Linked DNA regions of Danio rerio. The protein of the gene in region 3 interacts with the protein of the main gene of each other region in a pairwise test. Links are inferred from orthologs where the notes say so. Each region holds a gene or a part of one and is shown on either strand. Other genes may lie near its edges.

Region 1 (4,700 bases), on a different chromosome or scaffold from region 3:
CTACACCATGTCTAACAAAACACTGCAATCATGTTTCAAAATGAAATTATTGTTCAAAACACTAACACATGTTCTCTTCCAACATAAACATTCAGTCAATCAGAACACACTGACAATAAAAACACTATCATCAGCTGACATTACAGAAACTCCATTAGTTTATGTGTCAGCTCTGCCCTTATATTTGAAGTCTCGTTACAGTTTTGTTTCGTTGGGTTAAGTAAATGCATGCATTTTCTTTCGTTTACGGCAAAAATTCTATACGAAAGGAAGAAAAAAATTGCTTTATAAAATTTACAGTTTATGTAAAAAAAATACAGACACAGAATTTCTGCAGTACAGACTTTTTTTGCAGAAGGACATCACTGCAAACAGGAAAAGCACCACAACTATAATAAAATAACAAAGTAATCTTCTATACTTCCCGGTCTTTTGCCACAAGTTCTCATCCACATTATACTTGATATCTTCTGTGGCCCGGCACGGTAACTGTGGCCCTTTGGCCTATTATGTTTTTCCTACGGCGACATCCCCAGCCTTGTCAACATTGAAAATTTCATGTGGTACTTGATTGGCCTCTAACTTCATGACTCTCTGAAAGTAATTAGACACAGTGTATGCAAATGCTGTACTGTATATGTACTGTATGTACTAATGAACTCCATATATATATATATATGAGAGAGACTCATATTGCGGTTATATATATATATATTTAAAAAATAAATAAATATATATATATATATATATATATATATATATATATATATATATTTATTTATTTATATAACCGCAATATGCTGTTTCTCATTGGCAATTGAATAAAATAAAGGGAATAAACTTGTGTTTCAATTCACAATTAGAACAGCTGTTCACTTTGACTTTATCCTATATAATTTCTGTTTAGAACATGGTGTTATCTGTTCTGACATACTGTGTTAAAGCATTTGTAAATTTGACTGTAAAATTACATTGTTTTCTTGGTTGTGCTTGTGTGTAAAAGAAGTTAAAGCATTTTAAATTTGTGTTAACTGGATGCATTTTGTGTCAAAACAACAATAAATGTGTTAATTGTATAGCCCACGAAGACGGATGTTGTGCTAACTGTGTTAAGAGTTTAGGAAACTTGTTAAATGTATTGATAAAAGTGTCATAGCAATTGTAAAAAACTGTAATAAAGTCTGCATTTTGTGTGTAAATCAGTGGTGTGCCTTCTTTACTACAGACAAACTCAAGCACTGTCTGCCATTTCACTATACGAGGACATTAACTTCATCTGCTATGCTCCAAGAGCCACTTCAAAAGCATTATAACATTTTATGAAAAAAACTATAATAATAATAATAATAATACAATGTAAAAAAATAATGTATGCAGAATTTCACAGAATTTCAAATTCAGAATATTAAAATGCAAAAACAGTCAGAATCATGGTAAAAGCTCATTTGGAAAAATGAATAATTAAGCAAATATATCTGAAATTTGCCTTTATAGCTTTAGTGTTACAATTCATATAATGTGAATTTAATACACAGGTATAAAACAAACAGTGAACTCACTAAGCTCGTTGTCTATTTCCACCGTCAGATTGTTGGCGGCAACAATGAGCCTGTACTCTGGGTCTGCTTCAACCGGTCCAGACACTGAAAAAAGAGGAAATACCATGTTAAAAAAAGTTTCACTTGTGCCTAAAACTGTTTAAATTCATTTCTTTGGTTGAACATAAAACCTGTAACCCTTGACTTCCATAGTGTTTGCTTTTAATAAAGATGTTAATGGTTAAAGTTTTCAAATTTATCATCAAAATATTTACATTTTTTGTATTCAACAAAATAAAACAAAACAAAAACCTCATTGAACCATTGAGGGTGAGCAGATTTTAATACCTAATTTCACCATCCCTTTTAAACAACGTTAATTAAAATTAGTATTCTCTATATGTATTAGACATGGTCTTCTACAGTTTAAGGGGCTTCATAGTCTTCACCTATCAAGGAGTAAGCTGGCAAAAATGTATTCAGGGTCAGATTCATCTTGCTCCAGATGTGGTTTGAAGCCAGCAGATCTGAGTTGTATGTTCTGTGGATGACCTAGATTATCTCAATTCTGGACCAATATTTTAGATCATTTTCATCTATGTCACAATGATATGGATCCTGATTCTTTGACTTAATTTTTTAAGTTAAAATAAATGTTCACCAGCACGCTTTACAAAAAAAAAAAAAAAAAGTTACTACTTATCTTCATTGATGTAAAGTTAGTTTTATATTTGCACATTCTGACTCTCACCCTCTTAATGCAATTTCAGGGAAGTATTTTACAAATTCTAAATAGAGAAATCATATCAGGAGCCCATGACTATGAAAATACAACATTGTGCAGTCAAACAGTAGAACTAATGTTGTTTTGAAGTCTGAATATTTAGCCTGAATTGGATTTCAGAAATAATATCCAAAGTAGCGTGACAAACAATGCAGGGACCTTGTCACAAGTAGTTACTTTGTGTTTAAATTATTACGTCATTATAAATAGTCTGTATTAGGCTTTTAAAATCTGCTTTAGTATTTTATTGAACACCAAAGTCTGAATGTGTGAATAAAAACAACCTCAACGTTACCTTCTGAATTCTTGCGTTGATTTCCAACATAGTGACTGATTTTATCCATGATTTCAGCGAACTGCAACATATCAACAAGTCTGCAATAAGTTAGGTTCTAAAAATAGATCTGAAATGAAGCTGTGTGTGAGTTATTGATGTCAGAAACTGACCGGTTTGCTGTGTCGTAGTTTAGCTATGGACGTGACGCTCTCCGTGCTGCTGTAATCCACCTCCATCTCCTCCGGGATGTCCTCCAGTCCTCCATCAACTTGTCTTTCTCCGGGCTCTCCATCACTCTCTCCCTCTTCTCCGCCGGGATACAGCCCGTCCTCTTCTCCTGCCTCCTCCAAATCCGCAAGCAGCTCGTCTGCCAAAGACATCTACGAAGACAGTGAGAAAATAAATCACAACTAGACAATAAACACTGCTGTTTGATAATCGCAATCTTTAAGAAAGTGTTCAAGGTAAAATCAGACCAAACTTACAACTCAACCCGCCTGTTTTCTTCTCACTTTATGGAAAGAACAGAAGCCAACATGCAACGACTTACAAACGCCAAACAACGATCTGCAGTCGCACAGTAAATACGTCACATGTTTCACAGCAAAGGCTTCTGGGAAATGTGTTCAGGAAGATTCGAAATAAAAAAGTCCATGACCTATTTGTTTTTTTTTTGCTCCTTGTACACATTTTGGACATGAAAGAAGTTAAATTTTGAATGATTAACAATAATTTGGATGCATGGATTTGTTTAAGGTATATAGGTTCATTCCACTATGGTGTCGAAGGCAAATGAATTAATAAATGAAGTTTGTAAACTTCATTCTTTCATTCATTCATTTTTCCTTTGACATAGTCCCTTTATTCATCTGAGGGCACCACAGTGGCACCACACCACCAACTTATCCAGCATATGTTTTACGCAGCCGCAACCCAACATCAGGGAACACCCACACACTTTCATTCACACACATACACTACAGCCAAGTTAGGCTACCCAATTCAACTGTGCCGCATGTATTTGGGGGAAACCGTTACCGGAGCACCCAGAGGAAACCCACGCCTACATGGGGAGAACATGTAAACTCCACACAGAAATGCCAACTGACCCAGCCGAGGTGACAGCATTACCCTCTCCGCCATATCGCTCCAATAGTCTCCATCGCTCTAATGAATTATTGTGCTCTAAAACCAGGCCTTTCAGTCTCATTGTCCAACTGTAGATGTGTAATACTTTTATTTTAAAACGAATTTGTATAATATTTGAATAATATTGACATTCACAGTGCACTGTTACTGTTCATCTGCTAGACAAATCAGTTTTTAGATCAATCACAGCCCTACACATGCAAAACTGTGCGGTTATACTTAGTAATTTTGTAAACTGAGTTTAAAAAGTGTGAGTTTAAGAGTTCAATTATTTTTCTAATATTAGTCTAACGTTTCTCTACATTAACACTGATTTGGTCATTTCCACCACAGCTGTCATTTCCATCACCACACATATTTAAAAAAAAAATTTAAGTTCTTATCACACTTTAAAAATGAATTCACAATTTATGAGCTCATGCTCTATTTAATACAAATTCATTTATTTTGTAATAAGCTTTTAATCAAATTAAATTTTAGAGTGTGACAGGTGTACAATTCAGCATTTGGTCCTAAGAGACTCATTTATTTAATTGACAAATGTATAATTATTGTACACATTATGGAAAGATTGGTTAAACTGGATATAAAAAGGATCTCAGACAACTTTTTACTGCCATAATTGATTTCATTTTGAAATAAAAGCTGTATATTGAGATGTGATGGAAATGACGTTTGCTCATTTTATGATGGAAAAAATGTTAAATATAAACAATCTCTCTTCTTATCTAAGTTTGTGCTCTTACACATCTTAAAACTAGACAAATTGTTTAAACTTGAGGCCAGGATTTGTTAATTTTTACTCAACTTCACAAGACTAAAAGTGCCCGTAGTTGAAAAGTTTCCCAAATACACATTACATTACATTGCTGAAAAGCCTGACATCAACCTAAATTCTTTTATTTGGTTATTATATTAATATTTGTGTGTGTGTGTGTGTCTGTAAAAAATA
Region 2 (4,054 bases), on a different chromosome or scaffold from region 3:
CCCCGAGCGCGCCTATGCCCTGACGTGAAGTCTATTCACTGAATGGTGTGTCTCTCGCTGAGAAGACCCCCGTAATTTGCCAGATCAGCGTTGTGCTTTCTTTACGCCGAGAGAAGTTGGAGAGCAGGCTGTCGCCCTCCACACTCAAGGTTACGTGGCTGCCATCTCCGCTCTCATAACGCGGTGGCTGGCAGCACCGTGGGAACGCATAACCTCATCATCCGGTTCCTCAGGGGCGTTAAGCGAATTAATCCACCCCGCCCCCTCTCATGCCCTCTTAGGATCTCGCCCTCGCTACACAAGCCGCGTCAGATCCCTTCGATCCTCGACTCAGTATATTTCTGTCCCTGAAGACAGCTCTGCTGGTCGCGTTGATATCGATTAGAGGGTCGGGGACCCGGAGGCATTTTTCGGTCAGTGACTCGTGCCTGTAATTGGGCTGGCTTCTCTCACGTTCTGAGACCCCGCCCACGATATGTGCCCAAGGTTCCTACCACTCCGTTTTAATACGAGGTAGTGAGCCTGCAAGCGCTGCCCTCGGAGGAGGCAGACCCAGCCCTTCTTTATTGTCCAGTTCGCGTTTTGCGTATTATCCGGACCGCACTCAGAGTTTAGATCATCTGAGCAGCTCTTCGTCTGTTATAGCGGTCGGCAGCAGGGAAGTGCCGTACCGAAATAAGTTCCCACTAGATTGTGGATGCCTTTCTTTCACTATCAGAGCCGAGATGAGCCGCGTCCCCCGAGAGCGCGTGCGCACTCCGCTCGGAGCTTCGCATCCTCTCGAGCGCGCGCACACGGCGCCCCTCTAACAGACATCTGTAGAGCTGCGGGCTGGGTGACACCCAACACATTTGCAAGGTTTTACAATCTGCGAGTGGAGCCGGTTTCCTCAAGGGTATTAGGTAACCCTTGGTGATTGAGGAAACAATTCGGTAGGGTGTTGAAACACGCTTGCTGCGCCATTTTCCCTAACACGGAGATACGTGCGCCTTTTTATCTGTCAGTAAAGTTCCCCGTCAGGTGAGCCCTGCAGATTCCTCCGTGGCCCCCAGCACTGACTCAGCGGAGGAGTCACTTGCTGGCCCAATACGTTGTAGGTCTGCCCGCTGGTCAGCCCGCGTTTTGGGTAAAGGTGCCTGCTATGCGTGGTCCCCACTAGGCGATCCCATATGCTTATTCAGCCACGGTTAAGTCCCCCCCCCCCCCTGGGCGGACCCGTGTCTTCCCTCCCCGCTAACCACTCTTTTGCTATGCGTACTCCCCCTTTTTAGGGCTAGTCCATATGTAAATTCTGCCATCTATCCCCCCTTGGGTAACGGATGGCCTCCGCAGCGTCCTCCCTATCGGGATTGCACGCTTCCCAACGTACTGTCGTATTTTTCTAGAATTATCTAGATGCTCACGACTTCCCAAAAAATATATATAAATCCGTAAAACTTCTGTTGAAGTAGGATAAATTAGGGCCAGGGACACGTTGGAGGACCGCGCCCCCCATGATGTGGGTGCGTCACGCTTGCTTGACTATCTCCTCATCGGGGGTGTTGGTAAGGTGCAGTCATTATGGCGCTTTCAATGGGCTCCCAATGCGTGGATTTTACAATCAAATCCACTTATAGTGCTGAAGTTCCCCCCGAAGGGGAACGTTCGAGGTTACTACAGTAACCCTTCGTTCCCCGAGGAGGGGAACGGAAGCACTATACTCCGTCGCCATAATGACTGTCCCTTAGCTGTTGAAAGTCTCTTCAGCTTAAAAAGGATAGCGTCTGCTGGCGCCAGGTGAGCTTATATACTCAGTTGATTGCTTATGCCGCTCACCTGCGCAGGCTTGCGCTGCCAATTCATTCTTAATTGGCCCGTTCAATACTCTTTCAGACGAGTAGCTTCTGAACCGAACCTCCCAATGCGTGGATTTTACAATCAAATCCACTTATAGTGCTTCCGTTCCCCTCCTCGGGGAACGAAGGGTTACTTTAGTAACCTCGAACGTTCTCTGCTGTGCCTCATCCAAGGCCTTCGACAACTACAGCCTGTCTTGGTCATCCCTGTTCTGTCTCCTAGCCAGTAGCCATCTGTTACTGTATTCCATGTCATTCAGACTGTTTGCCATATAACTCCTGTTTTTCCTTTTATCTGTCAATCAGTGGCTGTTATACACCCCATATACCCCCCCCCACACACACACTCACATCCCCCTAGAAAAAAAGAAGACACTTTGTAGTTGACTTTTTTCTAAAACGAATTGTCTCAAACAAACAATTCAGACAGCATACAAACTGAAATTTGACTAGTATTTCCCTAAATCTGCACCTTTCTTTTGTTGCAGCAAAGTCATCAATTATATTGTCATGTACCCATTTAAAGTGGACATAAAGCTCTACTGAGGCATGGCTCCTATTGTCTTTATTCCGAGATTACCACTCTTAATTAATACATTTGCATAAAGTAATTCATATCTTAAAGCTATTACTGTGGCACGTTTTTTTTTCACTGTCTCTGTTTCGCACCCAGTAAGATGTCGCCCTGGGTGATCGCCCATATCTAAATCTGCCACTGCTGTCAATAAAACCCCCTTAACCTACATTTCGTGTTTGGGATCTCCTTCAGGATCCTTGACAATCATGCATGTTATAGTATGTGTACCTGTGTATCCCTGCTGAACATCTCAATGCCTCTGTCTGGCCTCTTCTTGGGCACCGTCTGTATAGCAGCATGGTGATACTCTGCGTTGGTCAACTTGTGACGGTATCCTCCCAGAAAAGCCTTCCCCTGAGTGGCTCTCTCAATCTCTACCACCACATCCTGGTATGTGTCTGCTTCTTAAAGTGAGAAAACTTGTCACAAATGCTTGTCTATAGGTTTTAAATAAGCAAAATTCTGGTAAAATAAGCCAAATACGTTTGTAGCATCAAATCTCATTCAGTCTTTGCACAATGACAGATTTTGCATTGTTGCTTCTACAATCTTTTTATTAGTATCACATACTCTTAAAAATGATCAGATGCATGTATAAGATACAATAGGGTACCAAAGCAATTTTAAGCTTACCAACAAAACAGTGGTTTATGAACAATGTTTTGACATGTTTTTTTTTCTTCAAATAAACAGTTTAATAAAAAAATAAACTTTAATTTTAAAAGCGACCATGGTAGGTTAAAATGGTTGTTTAATCTAATATGAGCAAGAGTTTTCAACTGTACTGCACACATGTTTATACACATTTTGGGGATGAAATAAGTTCATGCAGGCCTATTTTTTCATTCAAAATGTTTAACAACCATTTTAATTATTTCACCAATGCACATAAACACACACCTATACAGTTTTATGCAAAAATTTGGTCACCCCTCTGTGGCTGCATAATTATTTGCTCTTTAAAGAGAAGATCACAGTGAAATGTCATTCGGTTTCTAGTGAAAGCTAGATAATGTCATGTTTTTCCGACAGAAATATGTAGGGTAGCAGTATTGAAATGTGTGAAATAAATTGAAACTGAAAAAATGTGCAGGTACTGGAAACCTTGTCAGAGTTAAAGGTCGCATGGATTTCCCCCAGTATCAGCTGAATCTAAAGAATAATTTTCAGAAATCAATCAAGAGGCTGAAGTTACTCCACGGCTGGATGTTTCAAGCAGGACAATGATTCAAAGCACAGTTCCAGATCTGCTAAGGAATTCATGTTCAGACATGACACAATGTTCTAGAGGAGCTATCCCAGTTCCCAGACTTGAACATCATCGAAAAATCTATGGATTGATTTGAAAAGGGCCTTTCATGCTTGGCACCTATCAAACCTGACTGAACTTGAGAAGTTTTTCCAGGAAAAGTGGTCCAAAATGCCTTCAGCAAGAATTCCGGGACTTATCCTTGACTATAAGAAATGTCAACAGGCTTTTATTTCAGCAAAAGGTGGCTGTACAAAACATTGATGTCATTATTCTGTTGAGGTGCCCAAATTGTTGCACCTGTCTGTTTTTGTTATGATTTAAACTAGATGGCATCTGTTGAAAGGATAAATGTTATGTCAGAACTGAAAAGTTGCTTTTTTCATTAAGGTA
Region 3 (4,819 bases):
GAAAAAAGTGAAAATTCCAAGAATCAAACTGAAAATTCCTTAACAATAACAGAATTCCAGGAAAAAAAAGTCAGCATTCCAAGATGCAGAAGAATATCAGAAGAAGAAAAATATCAGAAATCCAAGATGCTAATTCGAAATTCCAAGAAAAATACAAGAATTGTTAGTTTTAAGCATGAAATTCCCAGGAAAAAAGAGAAAACGTGGAAAACCACAACAAAAAAGGCAGTATTCCAAGATGCAAACTCAAAATTCCAAGAAAAGAAGTCAAGATTTGGAGTTTTCAACTCTAAAAACCAAAGGAAAAAAGTGAATATTCCAAGATTCAAACTCAAAATTCCATGAAAAAAACAGAATTCCAGGAAGAAGACAACATTCCAAGATGCAAATTTAGAATTGCAAGAAAAATGTCAGTATTCCACAATGCTAACCTGAAATTCCAAAATAAAATATCAGAATTGTGTTCAAAGCTTGTAACTCCCAGGAAAAAAAAACTCCACGATCCCAGATGGAAACTATTTCAACATATAAACTAAGAATTCCAAGAAAAAAGTACAAATTCCAAGATGCAAACCTAAAAACACCTTGAAAAAAAATCAGAATTCGAAGAAACAGAAAGTATTCCAAGATGCAAATTCAGAGTTCCGGGCCATAAAAAGTTGATGCTTCCAAGACGCAAACCCAGAATGCAAAGATAAAATGTCGAAATTGTGTGAACTTAGAATTCTATGGCAAAAAGTCCCTAATCCAAGATGCAAACTTTGAGTTCCTAGTAGAAATTCAGTAAATCAGAATTCCAAGAAAATAAGTCAAAACTCAAAATTCCCGGGGGGAAAAGGTCAGCATCCCAGGATGCAAATTCAGAATTCCAAGAAAAAAAAGTCCGTATTGTAAGATGCAGACTCGGCATTCAAGGAAACAATGCCGAAATTGTGAGTTTTAAACCCAGAATTCACAAAAAAGTAAATATTCCAAGAGAAAGGTCAGGACTTACAGTTTTAAACCTAGAATTCCCAGGCAAAAGTCGGCATTCCCAGATTTAATTTATAATTCCAAGAAAAAGTAAATTATCCCAAATGCAAACTTAAAATTCCAAGAAAAAAAAAAAGTGGGAATTGTGAAATGAAGCCAGAACAATCCTGACACAGAAACAGTTTTCCAGATCAGGGGCTCTGGAATATTCCTGCAAGCAAGAAGATCTGCAGCATCACACACACACACACACACACACGCGCGTGTGCGGATCATGCCCGTCTGCAGCAGGTGCTGTTCTGCAACACAGTGACCCAGTTGTTGTGAAGCGTGTTGCTATGAGACTGACGTCAGCATTTCCCATCAGCCCCTGCAGTGTGTTTGGGAACAACCCCTTCCACACACACACACACACACACACATTACCATTAATAATGTTTTATTTCTTCGAAAATAAAAATGCACGCACACACACACATACACACACACACACACACACACACACACATTACTATTAATAATGTTTTATTTCTTTGAAAATGAAAATGCACGCACACACACACACACACACACATACAAACACCAATCATGCGTCCTTGAACAAACCCAATAAAGCACACACAGATTATTTCTCTCTCTCTCTCTCTCTCTCTCTCTCTCTCTCTCTCTCTCTCTCTCTCTCTCTCTCTCTCTCTCTCTCTCTCTCTCTGTATGTGTGTGTGTGACGCATGCTCGGCTGAACTCCCCTCCCCCTCAGCTCATCTGCTCCGCAGCCGCGTCGAAACACACAAACACACGTTCAGGAGACGAGAGATCCGCGAGGAACAGACGACGCAGAGATGCGGGAGAGAAAACACAGCTGAAACCCTCTCGGCTGTAAACCATGACCGACAGATAGAGAGAGAGATAGAGGGAGAGAGAGAGAGAGACATGGCCCTCTCAAACATCTCCGCAGTGAAGCTGCACGTCCTGGACTGAAGACCATGGTAAATCAACACAGATTACTCTTCTGTACTGTGTCCATCCATCAGTTCATCCATCCATCAGTTCATCCATCAGTTCATCCATCAGTTCATCCATCCATCCATCCATCCATCCATCCATCCATCCATATGTTCATCCATTCACCATCTCTCTATCTCTTCTGCATGTCAGGAATCAACAGCAGATTTCCCACTGTCATCTCACACACGTCACTGATCTACATGTGTGTGTGTGTGCGTGTGTATGCTGACCCGCAGTGCACTATTCCAACCTACTTTCACAATGCGGCCTGTAGATCACACACACACACACACACGCATACACTCACACACACACACACTCGCGCATGCTCTTAGCAGGTAACATGACTCAGGCTCACATGCATGGAAAGATGATGCTTGTACCGCAGTGACCTGTAGAGGAGCTGTGTGTGTGTGTGTGTGTAGCATACATGTGCAGAAACACACACATAAAACACACATGTTGTTAGTTTTGGTGGTTTATGAGGACTCTCCATAGGCATAGTGTAGCATATACAGTAAAAATATCTTATTGCTTTACCTCATCACTACCCCTAACCCTAACCCTCCTTTGTGACACAGGCATGTTCTCATAAACCCACTTTATGTCGTAAGTCATCATGCCTATGTCACTAGACACAGACATGTCCTTGCAAACCACCAAAACCAGTACACACGCACACACTCACATGCATGCAAAATGTCTGAGGGATGTTCAGTCAGTCATGCATTGTTTTTCAGCTTAGTCCCTTTATTCATCTGGGGTCACCACAGCAGAATGAAACGGCAACTTATCCAGCACGTTTTACACAGCGGATGCTCTTCCCATCTATGGGAAACACCCATACACACTCATTCACACACACTATGGCCAATTTAGTTGATCAACTCCCCTATAGCGCATGTGTTTGGACTGTGGGGAAAACCGGAGCACCCGGAGGAAACCCACGCCAACACGGGGAGAACATGCAAACTCCACACAGAAACACCAACTGACCCAACCGGAACTCGAACCAGCGACCTTCTTGCTGTGAGGCGATCATTCTACCCACTATTTACTATAAATGTGTGTGTGAGGGTCTTTGTGTCATTAATGTTGATCTGCAGATGTAAATGTGTGTGTGAGGGTCTTTGTGTCATTAATGTTGATCTGCAGATATAAATGTGTGTGTGAGGATCTTTGTGTCATTAATGTTGGTCTGCAGATGTAAATGTGTGTGTGAGGGTCTTTGTGTCATTAATGTTGGTCTGCAGATGTAAATGTGTGTGTGAGGGTCTTAGTGTCATTAATGTTGGTGTGCAGATATAAATGTGTGTGTGAGGGTCTTTGCGTCATTAATGTTGGTCTGCAGATGTAAATGTGTGTGTGAGGGTCTTTGTGTCATTAATGTTGGTCTGCAGATGTAAATGTGTGTGTGAGGGTCTTAGTGTCATTAATGTTGGTGTGCAGATATAAATGTGTGTGTGAGGGTCTTTGCGTCATTAATGTTGGTCTGCAGATATAAATGTGTGTGTGAGGGTCTTTGTGTCATTACTGTTGGTCTGCAGATATAAATGTGTGTGTGAGGGTCTTTGTGTCATTAATGTTGGTCTGCAGATATAAATGTGTGTGTGAGGGTCTTTGCGTCATTAATGTTGGTCTGCAGATATAAATGTGTGTGTGAGGGTCTTTGCGTCATTAATGTTGGTCTGCAGATATAAATGTGTGTGTGAGGGTCTTTGTGTCATTAATGTTGGTCTGCAGATATAAATGTGTGTGTGAGGGTCTTTGTGTCATTAATGTTGGTGTGCAGATATAAATGTGTGTGTGAGGGTCTTTGCGTCATTAATGTTGGTCTGCAGATATAAATGTGTGTGTGAGGGTCTTTGCGTCATTAATGTTGGTCTGCAGATATAAATGTGTGTGTGTGAGGGTCTTTGTGTCATTAATGTTGGTCTGCAGATATAAATGTGTGTGTGAGGGTCTTTGTGTCATTAATGTTGGTCTGCAGATATAAATGTGTGTGTGAGGGTCTTTGTGTCAGTAATGTTGGTCTGCAGATATAAATGTGTGTGTGAGGGTCTTTGCGTCATTAATGTTGGTGTGCAGATATAAATGTGTGTGTGAGGGTCTTTGCGTCATTAATGTTGGTCTGCAGATATAAATGTGTGTGTGAGGGTCTTTGTCATTAATGTTGGTCTGCAGATATAAATGTGTGTGTGAGGGTCTTTGCGTCATTAATGTTGGTCTGCAGATATAAATGTGTGTGTGAGGGTCTTTGTGTCATTAATGTTGGTCTGCAGATATAAATGTGTGTGTGAGGGTCTTTGTGTCAGTAATGTTGGTCTGCAGATATAAATGTGTGTGTGAGGGTCTTTGCGTCATTAATGTTGGTGTGCAGATATAAATGTGTGTGTGAGGGTCTTTGCGTCATTAATGTTGGTCTGCAGATATAAATGTGTGTGTGAGGGTCTTTGTCATTAATGTTGGTCTGCAGATATAAATGTGTGTGTGAGGGTCTTTGCGTCATTAATGTTGGTCTGCAGATATAAATGTGTGTGTGAGGGTCTTTGTCATTAATGTTGATCTGCAGATATAAATGTGTGTGTGAGGGTCTTTGTGTCATTAATGTTGGTCTGCAGATATAAATGTGTGTGTGAGGGTCTTTGCGTCATTAATGTTGGTGTGCAGATATAAATGTGTGTGTGAGGGTCTTTGCGTCATTATTGTTGATCTGCAGATATAAATGTGTGTGTGAGGGTCTTTGCGTCATTAATGTTGGTGTGCAGATATAAATGTGTGTGTGAGGGTCTTTGCGTCATTATTGTTGATCTGCAGATATAAATGTGTGTGTGAGGGTCTT
Region 4 (4,054 bases), on a different chromosome or scaffold from region 3:
TCAACAAAATGTTCTTTAAAAAAAATAAATAAATAAATTTCATAAAAAAAAAAAAATTTATATATATATATATATATATATATATATATATATATATATATATATATATATATATATATATATATATATATATATATATATATATATATATATATATATATATATATATATTCTTCATCTAAAAATATACAAAGGAGTTTGTCCAGACTAAAAGTCCCTGACCATCAGGTAACTATAGATAAATGGACCGTTAATCTCCATCTCTCTGACAGAGACATGTTTGAGTATTTTTAAAATACTGTAAAATACTTGCTTACAAAAAAAAAAAAAACTTAGAAAGCATTTTACTATTTTGATAAACTTAATTTTTTTAATGGAAAGGTTGACATTTGCATGGAATTGGTGTTGTAGACTTGAAGATGATAGTTTAACATACCTGTTGAGGACCAGAGTGCTGAGCGCCTCTCCATCCACATCTTCCGCCACGATGACCAGAGGTTTGCGATGCTGGTTAGCAATTTCCAGAGCAGGAACAATACTCTGAACACTGGAGATCTTCTTCTCGCTCAGAAGCACATATGCATCCTGAAACTCACACTTCTGGCCTGCAGACAGAATCAACACGTTAGTCAGTCCAACATTAATAACATTGATAACAAATGACCTCCAAAAAAGTAATACGATACCTTTAGCGGTGTTGATGAAGTAAGGAGAAATGTAACCACGGTCAAACTTCATGCCCTCAATGATCTCAAGCTCATCATGAAGGGTTTTGCCATCCTTAAAAATAATAATTACATCCCGTGTGTGAGGTATTTTAAGGATAAAAACATAATTTGATCTGGATTAAACACTACTTTTTAGTAGCCTACCTTCACTGTAATGACACCCTTACGACCGACTTTCTTCATAGCATTGGAGATGATGTTACCAACTTCAGTGTCTCCATTGGCAGAAATAGTAGCCACCTACAAAGGATGATTCAAGGAAGCATACATAAATTGCACATTTACTTGTATCATTTTAAAGATATGTAAAAGATTAACATAGACAACAAAAAGACAAAAATAATAATTGTATTGATGTTTCCTATACAAACTTTGAAATACCTTAAAGGGGACTTATGCCTCTTTGTACAAGATAGAAAGTCTCTGATATCCCTAGAGTGTTTATGTGAAGTTTCAGCTCAAAACTCTACAAATAATGTTTTATAACATTTTAGGTTTTGATCCTAATCTAGTCATTTTGTGGACTGTCGCTTAAAATTCAAATGAGAATGGGTGAAGCTACAAATGCCTGTGTGTTAGCATAGTGGCAGATTCAAAAACAAGACTAAGGGCACACTCTCACTAGGCACAGTTGCCTTGAAAAATGTCGAAGTGCGGTTGTCCCCCTTCCCCCGACAGTTTGCACTCATGATACATCTTTCTTTACCTACTGATCCAGAGAACGCTTAAGTCATTGATGATGCGACTGTTCAGTTTAACATGTAAAAAGTGCTCTCGCTCAGCACAGTGGAGATTGCTTTAGTTATATCGTTTTAGCCATTTAGGATGCAGTGACATGCAGTCAATTATTTTGCCAAAAAGATCCACCACTTTTTACGCTTATAAAGTCCTCGTGCTGCACGTATTTGGAGGTTTGCTGAAGGAGCAGCGAGAGGTTTGAGTCTTTATTAAACTACAACATTTTGCAGAATGATTAACAAATCCATATGAAACAGTCTTCTAAAAGTGACACATCTTTAATTTCTTTAATTTCGAGCTCAGGCGCACCATTGTGCATACAGGGTTCTTGCACAGTTTTAAAAGTAAAATTTTATGCTTTTTAAGACCTTTTTAAGACCTCAACAAATATAATTTAAGACCCAAAAATTTTAGAATTTCTTCAGAGTAGGCTACTCATTTTAATGTTCTCGTTAGATTTAAATAAATTGTGCCTCGTCACAGTATGGATAACCCACACTACCTGCTTTTTGGGTGTCAGGTGGTGAAATTAAACTGTTATAGCTGACTGTGAGGGGGCGTCTGAACTAGAGCTGTAATCAGGATATAAAAGCTAGGCCCGATAGAGCCCGAACCCGACAAGTACATTTTGATTGACAGCTTTTAAAAGCCCGTACCCGTTTATAGCCCGACATTATCCAAATGTGCAAAGGCACACAGCTCTTTTGTCTTTTTTTATGAATGAGTTGTTTAAAAGGGTTAACATTACTTATTCATAACATAGGCTATAGGCCTAACATTAGTAACTAGTAACATTGTTAGGTCGAGCTGCAAACAATGCAGGGATTAACCTGGACCTGCTATGACAAGCTGCTGCAACGTCCCGCTGCTGCTTTCCTCCTTTCATGTGCGACTTGACAACTTTGAGCCCCATGGTCCCTAACGAAAAGGTCTTTTTGCAGAATTCACACATTGCCTTTTTGCCACGTCGTTAAATGTACAATTTTCCATCTTTGCATTTTGACACATCAACAACCGCATAATAACAGCACGCAGGTACAGACCGACGCAAGCGTCTGTACTCTGTAGCTGACCCACCGTAATAAGCTAATAAATCACGGAGACTGTCATTTCTCTCCTGTTTTACAAGTGCTAAATTAATCAACTATTAGATGTTTTACGGTGGACCACTGTGCTTCCCTATCGTCATTAAGCACACTGGCTGAAAATTTTATACCTACAGCCACTTTACGGTAAAATTAAAGACAATTTAAGACCTTAATTACCCGGATTTTAATTTAATACATACACTACAAGCGTAATGTGCCAAAGCCCAACCAAACAACACTCTGGCACACCTCTTAACCGCACTTTGGCCCGATTCGCAGCACTCACACTTGTCAAATGAACTGGGAAATGTGCCTGGGCATGGGCATGGTTCGGATAGCAGAGTGTGAGTAATCCCCAACGTCCAACGCTAATGAAGAAGAGATTGTCACTAATGGGTGAAACTCAAACTTTTATTATAACCTAACTTTTAATCTGATGTATTAAGAAACTGCATCAATGTAATGTAGTGTATTTTTTATTTAATGCCATGTCAGCAACCAAGGCTATTTTCATGGCAAAAAAATTCAATAATAAATATATTTAAAAACAAAAACGAACACACCAATTAAATGTGAATTTTAGTGTTAATACATGATCAAAATTTAAAAAATTTTCCTGGTGTCACTTTAAATGGATCAATATGAGGCTGATATTATATTACAGAACTTTCCATTTAATGCCACTTTTTACCTGAGCGATTTCCTCTGGAGTCGTGACGGGCTTTGAGTTTTTCTTGAGTTCACTGATGACCTCTTCTACGGCCATCATGACTCCTCTACGGATCTCAACTGGGTTTGCCCCCTTGCTGATGGTGTCGAAGCCCTCTTTGGCGACAGCCCGGGCCAGAACTGTAGCGGTGGTGGTGCCGTCTCCAGCCTCCTCATTAGTGTTGTTGGCCACATCCTGAACCAGCTTGGCTCCGATATTTTTATACCTGTCCTTCAGATCAATACTTTTAGCAACTGTGACCCCATCTTTGGTAACTTTAGGGCTTCCCCAGCTCTGCTCAATGATGACGGTGCGACCCTGAAAGACAGAGAGAGGGAAATCTAGTAGCTTTTCTTCCATCAATGATTAAAAACGTGATTTAGAAAGGATGGTGGTTTTGTTTGACTGGCGACTTATTAATCCCAGCACACCTTTGGCCCCATGGTGACGGCCACTGCATCAGCCAGCAGGTCAACACCCTGGAGCATGAGGGCCCGGGCATCTGCTCCAAACTTCACATCCTTTGCATATGCACGGGTCAGGTGAGGGGCCAGAGCCCTGCACACAGGCCTCATCTGTCTCATGACACTGGGTAAACGCAGCATTTCTATCAGAGAGTGAGAGAGAGAGAGAAAGATTATTATTGTTGTTGTTGTTGTTGTTTTTATTACTGTTTTATCCTAAAATGTTGATTGTTAAAATGTACAGTTTATTCTGATCAATTATGTTTATAATTGAATTGTATAAATAATATGATATATTGAATAACATGATATATTAAATATATTGTA

The links.
Region 1: the proteins of tmcc2 (region 3) and prpf31 interact in a two-hybrid assay, tested with the Homo sapiens proteins (2 studies listed by BioGRID). The two-hybrid records come from large-scale screens. The link is inferred for Danio rerio from reciprocal best matches to the Homo sapiens genes TMCC2 and PRPF31.
Region 2: the proteins of tmcc2 (region 3) and iqub interact in a two-hybrid assay, tested with the Homo sapiens proteins (2 studies listed by BioGRID and IntAct). The two-hybrid records come from large-scale screens. The link is inferred for Danio rerio from reciprocal best matches to the Homo sapiens genes TMCC2 and IQUB.
Region 4: the proteins of tmcc2 (region 3) and hspd1 interact in a two-hybrid assay, tested with the Homo sapiens proteins (2 studies listed by BioGRID). The two-hybrid records come from large-scale screens. The link is inferred for Danio rerio from reciprocal best matches to the Homo sapiens genes TMCC2 and HSPD1.

What each region holds. Positions count from the first base shown.
Region 1 is NC_133191.1:35,273,750-35,278,449, reverse strand, and holds the start of prpf31 (U4/U6 small nuclear ribonucleoprotein Prp31), read right to left. Parts: upstream 3,190-4,700; 5' UTR 3,085-3,189; intron 2,980-3,084; coding exon 2,770-2,979; intron 2,679-2,769; coding exon 2,618-2,678; intron 1,644-2,617; coding exon 1,560-1,643; intron 1-1,559. UniProt on the Homo sapiens protein: Involved in pre-mRNA splicing as component of the spliceosome. Required for the assembly of the U4/U5/U6 tri-snRNP complex, one of the building blocks of the spliceosome.
Region 2 is NC_133200.1:30,227,380-30,231,433, reverse strand, and holds part of iqub (IQ motif and ubiquitin-like domain-containing protein), read right to left. Parts: intron 2,817-4,054; coding exon 2,641-2,816; intron 1-2,640. UniProt on the Homo sapiens protein: Adapter protein that anchors the radial spoke 1 (RS1) complex to the A microtubule of outer doublet microtubules in axonemes. The triple radial spokes (RS1, RS2 and RS3) are required to modulate beating of the sperm flagellum.
Region 3 is NC_133197.1:615,102-619,920, reverse strand, and holds the start of tmcc2 (transmembrane and coiled-coil domains protein 2), read left to right. Parts: upstream 1-1,775; 5' UTR 1,776-1,955; coding exon 1,956-1,958; intron 1,959-4,819.
Region 4 is NC_133184.1:33,974,132-33,978,185, forward strand, and holds part of hspd1 (60 kDa heat shock protein, mitochondrial), read right to left. Parts: intron 3,871-4,054; 5' UTR 3,869-3,870; coding exon 3,695-3,868; intron 3,582-3,694; coding exon 3,246-3,581; intron 969-3,245; coding exon 873-968; intron 781-872; coding exon 687-780; intron 606-686; coding exon 437-605; intron 1-436. UniProt on the Homo sapiens protein: Chaperonin implicated in mitochondrial protein import and macromolecular assembly. Together with Hsp10, facilitates the correct folding of imported proteins.